Linked DNA regions of Ovis aries. The protein of the gene in region 1 purifies or fractionates together with the protein of each later gene. This does not show direct contact. Links are inferred from orthologs where the notes say so. Each region holds a gene or a part of one and is shown in the gene's direction. Other genes may lie near its edges.

What was found.
Region 2: the proteins of MGRN1 (region 1) and ANKRD46 purify together in Homo sapiens (co-immunoprecipitation; 3 studies listed by BioGRID and IntAct, counting the BioPlex papers as one, with this or other methods). This does not show direct contact. The link is inferred for Ovis aries from reciprocal best matches to the Homo sapiens genes MGRN1 and ANKRD46.
Region 3: the proteins of MGRN1 (region 1) and MC1R purify together in Homo sapiens (affinity purification with western blotting; 3 studies listed by BioGRID). This does not show direct contact. The link is inferred for Ovis aries from reciprocal best matches to the Homo sapiens genes MGRN1 and MC1R.

Annotation. Positions count from the first base shown.
Region 1 is NC_056077.1:4,321,285-4,325,418, forward strand, and holds the start of MGRN1 (E3 ubiquitin-protein ligase MGRN1), read left to right. Parts: upstream 1-1,259; 5' UTR 1,260-1,380; coding exon 1,381-1,468; intron 1,469-4,134. UniProt on the Homo sapiens protein: E3 ubiquitin-protein ligase. Mediates monoubiquitination at multiple sites of TSG101 in the presence of UBE2D1, but not of UBE2G1, nor UBE2H. Plays a role in the regulation of endosome-to-lysosome trafficking.
Region 2 is NC_056062.1:76,769,046-76,772,693, forward strand, and holds part of ANKRD46 (ankyrin repeat domain-containing protein 46), read left to right. Parts: intron 1-2,291; coding exon 2,292-2,508; 3' UTR 2,509-3,648.
Region 3 is NC_056067.1:14,250,515-14,253,243, forward strand, and holds MC1R (melanocyte-stimulating hormone receptor), read left to right. Parts: upstream 1-1,215; coding exon 1,216-2,169; downstream 2,170-2,729. UniProt on the Homo sapiens protein: Receptor for MSH (alpha, beta and gamma) and ACTH. The activity of this receptor is mediated by G proteins which activate adenylate cyclase.

The DNA of each region.
Region 1 (4,134 bases):
AAGGTGTGAAGACTCACTTTAATGTGGACAGTGGTGAATTTACCATCTAAGAATCCTAGCCAGCCTCTGTCCTCCCTAGCTCCTTTATACATATACATATAATTTATTTGTTTGGCTGCGCAGGGTCTTGGTTGTGGCACACAGGATCTTTCAGTCTACCCTGAGGCACGTGTAGTGTTTTAGTTGAGGCATGCATACTCTTGGTTGCACTATGTGGGATCCAGTTTCCTGACCAGGGATGGAACCCGGGCCCCCTGCATTGAGACCACCGCGTCTTAGGCACCAGACTACCAGAAAAGTCCCCCAGCTTCTTTCTTGGTAGAACAGGCTTGTCTTGGGAAGCCACTTTCTTCTCAGAAGAGCCGTTTCTCAACTGAAAAGTTGGTGAAAACAACAAATCCTCACTTGCCTGCTTACAGAGTTTTGCACAAATCAAAAGCCTGGAAAGTACCTTACAACCTGTGAGGAGGCTTTAACTCTAACCCTGGTTCTTTATATTTATAAATATTTATTCAAATGGAAAGTTGGGGAATTCCCTGGCCGTTCAGTTAGGGTCTAACCTGGATTCTTTGAACTTGGCTTAAGCACCCTTAAGCACTCTCTTCTTTGTGCTTCAGTTTCCCTGTCTCTAAAATGGGGAGAGGTTTACTGCCTCTGCGAGGGACTTGATGTCTTCAAAATAACTGTCCTGGACATGGAGACGGAGAGATGCCTTGAGTTCTGGAAAAGGTGCTTCGCTTCCCAAGTGGGCACTCCTCCAAGCAATCTTGGGTTCCACCCCCAGCTCTTCTTTGCCGGGTGGCAGGTGAGGGTCTGCCCTCTGCTGGCCGGGCCAGGAGATCAAACCCTGGGAAGTGGGGAGAACCGTGGTAGCTCAGGGAGGTATTTCAAAGAGGGAGTGAATGGAAGGCGTTGGTTCCTCGAAAGGTGTACGTACGAACAAACTGTTAAAAAGCTAAAGACTTATGATGTTAGTCTCGTGCTTTGGAATGCAAAGGGCTGGATAGTTTGCAGGGTGGTTGATGGTCTCTCCCCTCTGGACTCAGGTCCATTTGGTTTGTCCTGGAGGATTTGTCAACAACTTCGGAGAGCCCGGGCGCGGAGCTTCCTGGGAAGTGTAGTTCCCAGTCGGGCTTTCCACGCCGCCGCTCGGCCCCCACTGCTACGAGGGGACTCCATTTCCCGAGGTGCTTCGCGCCCCGGGGGGGCGAAGGGCTGCCGTGGCGTCGGGCCCCGGGCCGAGCCGGGGGTGGGGGCTCGGGGAGGCCGTGCGCCCGCGGCCGTGGGCGAGCGTCCGTGCGGCCTGGTCCGGGCCATGTCCGCGTGAGGACGCCGCCGCCGCCGCCGCCGCCCCAGCCTCGGCCCGGTCCGCCGCCCACCATGGGCTCCATCCTGAGCCGCCGCATCGCGGGCGTGGAGGACATCGACATCCAAGCGAACTCGGCCTATCGCTACCCCCCAAAGTCCGGTGAGTGGCCGCCCCGACTGCCGCCTCGGCCCCGCCCCGGGCCCCTGCCCCGGGCGCGGATGGCGAGGCGCGCGGGCTGGAGCGCGCGGGGCGGGCAGCGGGCGGCGGGGCCTCGGCGCGGGCCCCGCGGCGGAGGGTGGGCTGGGGGCTCTGCTCGGCTCCGCGGCCTTCCCTGCAGCTTCCCTGTCTGGGGCTCCACGCGCCCTCCACCGGGACCCTGGGGCGAGGGTCGGTCCGGCGCTGACTGCCGCGGCCCGGCCGGGTGACCTTGGGTCAGTCATTTCGCCCCTGCGCGCTGCACTCTCCCACGGCTGCACACCCGGGAAACACTCGATAGGAAACCTCCCCAAGGACCGGGGTGAGATTTGGGGGCGCGCAGCTGGCAAGGACTTAACCCCGTGCCCGGCGCTTTGCTTGCATATACAAAGTGGTCATTGTCACAGGGCTCAACATCGCTCCATCGCCAGTTTTCGCCTTCTTCGGTGGCTCGGTGGGAGACCCGGCCAGGGTTCTGTACGGTACCCCCTCTGTCCCGTCTGGACAGAGGCTTAGCTCTGCTGTGGCTTGGCGCGTGTGTTTAGTGGGTGGGTGGGAAGGCGCTGGGGAGTGGGCCTGGGCCCAAGGAGGCATTACTGTCCTTGGGAGAGGAGCTGGGAGTCCCTGCTGGAGAACCAAGGGATAGTTGGAGAGGACCTCCCAGGTTCTCCAGCTTCCCGTTTTTGTGTCTGAGAGATGTGGGCCACCAGGGAGGAAGTGACTTTACCAGGGTCTCAGAGCTGGACCAAGAGTTCGACTCCTAGGCCAGCTGTCCCCCTCCCACTGCCCCCCACCCCCCAACACACTGTTCTCTTGCCTCTGATGGTGAGAGTGGCCTGACCTGCAGGTTTAGCTCGGGTTCCTCACACTCCATCTCCTCATCTGGTCGTTTGCCCGGGAGGAGGACAGGGCATTTGGGCCTTGTGGGCACTTTCAGACTGGGGCCTTTGATTCAGGCTTCTGCAGCATTGCATCCCGTTGGTGGTTTCTTGGCCTCTTAGTTGGCCTGCGGGCATCCCCCAGGCCAGGTTTCCCCTGAGTATGTCCAGGACCATGGGGAAGCTTGTTTAAGGTGCGTTCCCTAGGCCCTGCCTCAGATTTCCTGGGTCTGCTGGGGGCCTAGGAACCTGCATCTAAAACCCGTTCCCAGAGTGAGTTGACTGTCCACTCAAATTGGAGAACTGCTCTGCTTTCATTGTGGAAGGGGAAAGAAGGCAAGTGTCTGGGACCACCAGAAATAAACAGGGTGGGGACTAGCACAGTTGGGGTCAGTCAGAGCTAGGCCAGAGAGCCCTGTTCCCTGATAGGCATGGGAGGTCTCCATGCCTTCTTGGTCCCTGGCACAGGACCAAGGACAGGAAAGTCCCCACTGGTGTGGGATTCCCTGGAGGCTGACGTTCCAGACCTGATGGAGCAGTTGGTTATTTGAAGTCATCCTCTTCTGTCTCCGATGTTCTTCCTGATCGGCTTTGGCTGAGTCTTCCTGGTCTTAGACAAGCCACCTAGCCTGCTGGGTCACAGTTTCCTCATCTGTAAAATGGGCTGATCCTTGTACAGCGCTTAGCACCTAAGACGTCTTCACAAGTTGTTAGCTGCTATGTTGGCTTATAGAGGAAATTAGGTGATCCATTCAGACTCTTAATAGCAGTTAGCTGTGGCTTGGCAGAGCCAGCAATAAGTTTAAGGTGGTCACCTGGGCCCGGAGCAAACCTCATGTCCCTTCAGTTGGGTACTTGGAGAAGAAATCACAAATGCAAGGCACTTCGGGCACTGCTTTTGCATTCTGCGCAGCTGACCTTGTTAATCAGTCCAGACACCCCTACCGATCCTGGACGCCCGAGTCAGCCACAACTAATCGACTGGGACTGGCACCCAGGTGAGTGCCATGTGCACCTTGGTTTTGCTGCCAGCGAGATTAGTGCCCTCCTGGGCCTGTTCAGTCCAAAGGCTGCCCTTGCTGCTTCCTTCTCTCTCGGGCCACCTTGTTCTGGGAGGCAGTCAGCAACCTAAGCAGGACTTGAGTATGTTTCCTCAAGAGTGGGCTGGGGATGGAAGAAGGGGGTTGAGATTTTTAGGGACCCCTGGACTGTACAGTCAGTTCATGAGAAAGTTGTTATCTTTTCAGGTCTCTGCCAATTTTGTTGATTGTGTTATGGACAAAGAATCATTGGGAGCTAGAATTTGCTTGAGAACTTTTTAAAAAAATGTTATTTATTAATTTGTTTTTGGCTGAGCTGGGTCTTTGTTGGTGCGTGGGCTTCTCTCTAGTTGCAGCGAGTGGGGGATACTCTCAGGTTGGGGGACTCGGGCTTCTCATTGCCGTGGCTCTCTTCTTGCAGAGCGCCGGCTCTAGCATGCTCAGGCTTCCGTAGCTGTGGTTCCCAGGCTCCAGAGCGCAGGCTCAGTAGTTGTGGCGTATGGGCTCAGCTGTAAAGGCAGCCTGCTAATGCAGGAGACACCAGGGATGTGGGTTCGGTCCCTGGGTTGGGAAGATCCCCTGGAGGAGGACATGGCAACCCACTTCAGTGTTTTTGCCTGGAAAGTCCTATGGACAGAGGAGCCTGGCTGGCTACAGTCCACGGCTTGAACCTATGTCTCCTACATTGGCAGATGGATTCTTTACTACTGAG
Region 2 (3,648 bases), on another chromosome or scaffold:
TGTTCCTAGGAAACTTTTCCTTAAGTTGAGATGGCATAAAGTGAAGAACCTTAGGACTCATCTTACTAACAGATGCACAAAACAAACTGAGATAAAACACAGGTGCTCAAACACCGTGCAGGCTGGGGTGGCTGGACACTGAGATGCTGTGAGGTTCCTGAGCTTGGTGGTGCCAGTCTTGCTGCAAGACAAACGCTGAACACTGTTTTGCTTTATGCCTTTCTTCCTATAAAAGCAAAAATCCTCTTGGGATTTCTTTTAATTAGCAAATAGTGGTGGTATAGTGGATGTTTCTTAAAAGTGAGGTGGCATAAAGTGAACTTTCAAAAAATGGGGGATACCTGTATATCTAACACCTTTAAGTATGAGAGCATTTTGAATCAGATGTAGTCAATGAATTTCATGTAAGTCAAAATGAAGACATTATTCGAGCAGGAAGTACAACCATTTAAAAATATGTTGTTCAGGGTCTCTGTGTATCAAGCTAACTCAGATGTTTTAAAAGCCTTTTTTTTAAACAGAGTAAGTGAAATATCTGTGGCTAAGGAGTTTGGGATTTGTGATAACTTTGTAGTCATATAAAACTTAAGTGCTTTATGCCCCTCCACATGTGGTTATTCTAATAAATAGAGAAGTGAGCCCCCCCCCCCAAAAAAAATTAACCTCTACTGAACTTCACAGAGTTCTAATCTTATCTTTGAACTTGCTAGAGTTTTCTTTAAATTTTTGTATTGTTATAAATTCCCATTAAAAATGTCTTCTCCTATTCAGAAGATAAACATTTTTTTAACATATAAAAAAAAGTTTGGCTGGCAAACAGACTGGTCCTTTACAAAGTCATTTTCCTAGGATTGTAAAAGACACTAATGCCAGGAAAGGCTGAGAGGTCTGTGGTTAAGAGTGTCGGTGAATAAAGTAAAATTGTAACTTACCAAAAAAACCTGTCAACTATGCATGGTGACCCAGGCTCTAAGACCTTGTTTTGTGCTGTCTCCATTGTTCTGTCCCAAGATGGTCAGAAGAATGTGAAAAGGAGTTTAGGAAGAAGAACAGCAGCAATCACTAGTCGATACCTATGATCACGGTCATTGCGGCTTTATCTAAATGACTCCCTGCTACTGGTCCTGCATGCTGTGACATAGTTGTGGGCTAGTCTCCTGGAGCTTCGAGCTCATCACCGAGCAGTGTGCCAGTGTCGAGAGAGTGCCAGTGTCAGGCGGGCTCCATTTGGGGCAGCCGTGTCCTCGCTTAGGTAGTTTTTATGGCACTTGCACTGTTATTTTCAGCTAGACTCAGCCTTTATACAGAGGAGAAGTAAACTGACCTTGTGTTATTGTACAAGATAGCGCTAAAACCAGTGGGAGGAAGCTATTACGAGGAATCACTAATGGCTAGCCCTGTCCAAGTGTACCACATAGTAAGCATCCATTATTAGAGTATTTCAGTTTAAAGAAGGAATTCCTTCATTGGTCAGATTATTGAACTAAATTGATAAAAATCTGCCTTTAAGATTCACACACTGCTCAAGACTTCTTCCCTGGTGGCTCAGAGGTTAAAGCGTCTGCCTGCAATGCAGGAGACCCGGGTTTGATCCCTGGGTTGGGAAGATCCCCTGGAGAAGGAAATGGCAACCCACTCCAGTATTCTTGCCTTGAGAATCCCATGGAGGGACGAGCCTGGCAGGCTACAGTCCACGGGGTCGCGAAGAGTTGGACACGACTGAGCGACTTCACTTTTACTTTCAAGACTTCTGCTTCACAGTTGGAATGTTTTTGTTGTTGTTCAGTTGTGCCCAACTCTTTGCAACCCCATGGACTGTAGCATGCCAGCTTCCCTGTTCTTCACCATTTCCTCGAGTGTGCTCAGACTCATGTCCATTGAGTTGATGATGCCATCTAACCATCTCATCCTCTGTTGCCCCCTTTTCCTCCTGCCCTCAATCTTACTAGCATAAAGGTCTTTCCCAATGAATCGGCTTGTATCAGATAGCCTAACTATTGGAGCTTCTAACTTTGACTCTTCTAGAAACTTAACCAAGGAACATAATCATTATTGTTTAGCAATTTATGGTTCAAGGTAAATTGTCCAAATACTTGCAGATATTTAAATCGGTACATAAATGGGTATTTAAGTCAGTACATAAATGGGTTAGAATATATATGTCAGTTTTCTTCTCGTCAATGTATATTTTCAGGTTTGTCTTCTTAAACAGTGCAGTTTCTCTGGTTTTTTGTTTTTGAAATGGGCGACGTGTTGTTTCATGCCCTTTCTTTCCTTTGCTTCTCTCACAGCGCCATGGAAAGCCATTCGCTCCTCAATCCCAACCTGCAGCAGGGTGAGGGGGTCCTGTCCAGCTTCCGTACCACGTGGCAGGAGTTTGTAGAGGATCTGGGCTTCTGGAGGGTGCTGCTCTTGATCTTTGTCATTGCTCTGCTGTCTCTTGGCATCGCCTACTATGTGAGTGGGGTGCTGCCTTTCGTGGAAAACCAGCCTGAACTGGTGCATTAAAGAAGCTCACGGGAGAGGAGACGGATGCCAGTGTCCTGGCTTCCAGTGTTTGTTCTGGTTCTCAAAATCTCTTAGTGCAAAGCAGCGAGGGCTGTACTTTTGTTTCTTTTTGCATTTTTACACATTGTAATCCTTTTAGAAGAATAACCTGTCTGTTTGAACTAACTACATACTGTAGTCAAGGATGCTGTCCTAAAGCTACCTCCAGCTCAGCCTGACTTCTTAGGAAAGGCTCTGCATAGCCTTATTTGATAAAAATGTGGCATTGACTAACAAATGAGAGAGAGAGGATGAGACTAGGAAATCCTTGCTACAGAAACCTTACCCTAACATAAGACCAACTAGAGTGAAATGTTTAAAGGTTGTCTTATATGATCAGTTGTGGTTGGTAGTTTTGTTTTGTTTTTGTTTATTTTTGCAAGAGCTGCTTTTCGCTATTTACTTTCTCTGGGGAATAGTAGGGTAGGGGGGAAATGAAACCTTCAGCTTAAAACTTGAAGTGCTTTTTTCAGATCTTGTAGCACAAATCAGTATTGTTGGGATCTGTTTGGTTTATTTTAATATTTTCAAGTCTAGTCACAAACCAAACAGAACTTTTGAAAAGGAGTTATATTTTCCTCAAAAATGATTGATTTGATCTTATACTTATTTGTTTTTAAGATGTTTGATTTTTTTTGTGTGAGCTGCTTTGCTTGTTGTTAGTATCTGTGAAAAATGAACTTGAGAATTTTCAATCGAGAAACTTTTAATTTCCCCCTAGTGTTTATTTCAGAGATATCCTATTCATCAAAAATACAGTTGGAAGACTTTGTCTACTCAGTAGTTAGCAGGAATAAATATTGCTGATGTTTAATGTCACTGATTATGGTGAAAAATTCAGTTCTATAAGCTAGCCATGTTGTCATGATTATGTCATAGTTCATAATTTTTTCATTTCATGTGCAATCCTCTTTAGAGGCCCTGTTAGAACTGTCAAAACAATCCCATCCATGTCAGTTGTTCTCTGATGGAAAGAATGGATGGAGCATTCCCGAGTTAGCAGTGCTGAACAGTATTGTACCAGGTGTCTTTATGAATGGTAATACTATGTAAATTGAAATCTGGCCCCCAAACGATATTGCAGCTTTCTGCAGTGTGTTT
Region 3 (2,729 bases), on another chromosome or scaffold:
GTTGACTGGTTACGGAGTGCTGCAGTCCCAAGGGTGCTGGATGCGGCATGCACCAACCTGCGTGTTTATAACTTGTGTACTGTCTCTCACCTGCCATGTGCTTCAATAAACAGCATCAACAGAGCCACAAAGGAGAGGGCCATGTGAGTCCTAGACAGGGAAGGGAGGTGCACGGTGCAGGTGTGGGCCTTGCCCGTCTGGCAGGAGGAGGAGAGACCCTGACGGACCAGCGCCCGTAGCATGCCAGCCCCATCAGCCCACCTCTGACTCCCCGCCACCCCCTGGTGGGACGGCCTGTACACCCCACCCTCCTCCTAGGAGGGTTTGTCGTCAGCACCACGCACTCCTCAGTGAGAAAGTGCTGGGGGGCTGGCAAGCGGCTGCAGATAAAGGTTTGTCCTTGAAGTGGTTGCTGGCTTTGGGCCGGCTGTGGTGACCTTTCACAGAGGAAATGGGGGCTGTCAGGGAAGGACTGGCAGTGCCCCACCCCCAGCCCCCGCACCCCAGGGAGAAGCCACAGTGCAGTGAAGGGGCTGGGAGTCCTTGGGCGGGGTTGCCCTCAGCCAGCCTTTAACATGAGTTGGGGGGAGGGTGGCTAGGGCCAGGCTGTGGGTTCCTGAGGCAAGATTGGACGGCTTCAGGGAGGAGGTAATGGTTTTATGTTGGGCTTGGAAGAGGGTTGGAGGTCTCAGGCAGGTCTGCAGGGCCCCCACCCACCACCTGCATCGCCGGGAGCACCCGTTGGCCGAGCACCAACTACTGCACAGGCCGGACTGCCTTGGTCTGACAGGCCCGGGTTCCGCCTGCGCCACCAGGTGGCGGACCTCGCTGCAGCCCGGCACACGCCCATCATGTGGCCACCTTCAGGAGGAGGGACTCCGTGACGACTTTAAAGATGCCAAGGAAGGCTCTGTTCTCCCTGGACCTCAGCCCACCACGGCCGGGTAAGGCAGGAGGTCCCCACAGGACAGGAGGAAGCAAGCGGCCCAGAAATGTCTGCCTGTGGGCAACTGCACATCCAGAGAAGAGGCAGGGAGGCGGACTGAGGGCGGAAGAGCGACACTGCACCCAGAGGGCTGGCCCCACGAGCTTGGGGCCATGCCTGGGCCGACATTTGTCCAGCCAGGGAGGGGGCGGTGTGAGGCTCCTCCCAGGGGAGCCATGAGTTGAGCAGGACCCTGAGAGCAAGCACCCTTTCCTGCTCCCTGCGGGACGATGCCTGTGCTCGGCTCCCAGAGGCGGCTGCTGGGTTCCCTTAACTGCACACCCCCAGCCACCCTCCCCCTCACACTGGCCCCCAATCGGACAGGGCCCCAGTGCCTGGAGGTGTCCATCCCCGATGGGCTCTTTCTCAGCCTGGGGCTGGTGAGTCTTGTGGAGAACGTGCTGGTGGTGGCCGCCATCGCCAAGAACCGCAACCTGCACTCCCCCATGTACTACTTCATCTGCTGCCTGGCCATGTCCGACCTGCTGGTGAGCGTCAGCAACGTGCTGGAGACGGCAGTCATGCTGCTGCTGGAGGCTGGTGTCCTGGCCACCCGGGCGGCCGTGGTACAGCAGCTGGACAATGTCATTGACGTGCTCATCTGCAGCTCCATGGTGTCCAGCCTCTGCTTCCTGGGTGCCATCGCTGTGGACCGCTACATCTCCATCTTCTACGCCCTGCGGTACCACAGTGTCGTGACACTGCCCCGGGCGTGGAGGATCATTGCAGCCATCTGGGTGGCCAGCATCCTCACCAGCGTGCTCTCCATCACCTACTACAACCACACGGTCGTCCTGCTGTGCCTGGTTGGCTTCTTCATAGCCATGCTTGCCCTGATGGCCGTCCTCTATGTCCACATGCTGGCCCGGGCCTGCCAGCATGCCCGGGGCATCGCCCGGCTCCAGAAGAGGCAGCGCCCCATTCATCAGGGCTTTGGCCTCAAGGGCGCTGCCACCCTCACCATCCTGCTGGGCGTCTTCTTCCTCTGCTGGGGCCCCTTCTTCCTGCACCTCTCGCTCATCGTCCTCTGCCCCCAGCACCCCACCTGTGGCTGCATCTTCAAGAACTTCAACCTCTTCCTGGCCCTCATCATTTGCAACGCCATTGTGGACCCCCTCATTTATGCCTTCCGCAGCCAGGAGCTCCGGAAGACACTCCAAGAGGTGCTGCAGTGCTCCTGGTGAGGGTGGCAGTGCCATCGTGTGCCCAGGCCTGGAAGTCTGGGGCAGTCCCTTGACAAAGAGGATCGCTAGACCATCTCTGAAGGTGAGGGTGCACAGGCCTTCGGGGGCCTGAGAGGGGAATCACAGGACTCTCCAGGAGGCTGTGCAGAATGAGGAGGCTGGGGAGATGGTGGGGCATGGCCTCCCACACCTAGAAAGGAGGGTCCCCACCCCTCCATCCAGAGACCCACTCCGGGGCCAGTGCCCACACCCCACCCCGCCCAAAGCTGTGGGAAGTCCTGCTCCAAGGACTTCATGACCAGCACAGGAGGAGGTGGGGGCTTCTCTCTTCAAACGCTCTGTGGTGACTGGGAGTCGGGCTCAGCCCGTCTGCGAGCAGCACATGCATTCGGCAGACACCCCAGCCAGGCCTGCTCTGGGGACCCAGCAGCCAGTATGCAGGCTCCAGGGCCAGGAAGCAGTGCAGCGGTATTAATAAATGTGATGCTTGGTGCAACCTCCTTCCCATCTTTCTTGCCTCTTTCCGGAAATTGCCTGAAGCTTGGGGTGGAGGAGTAGGG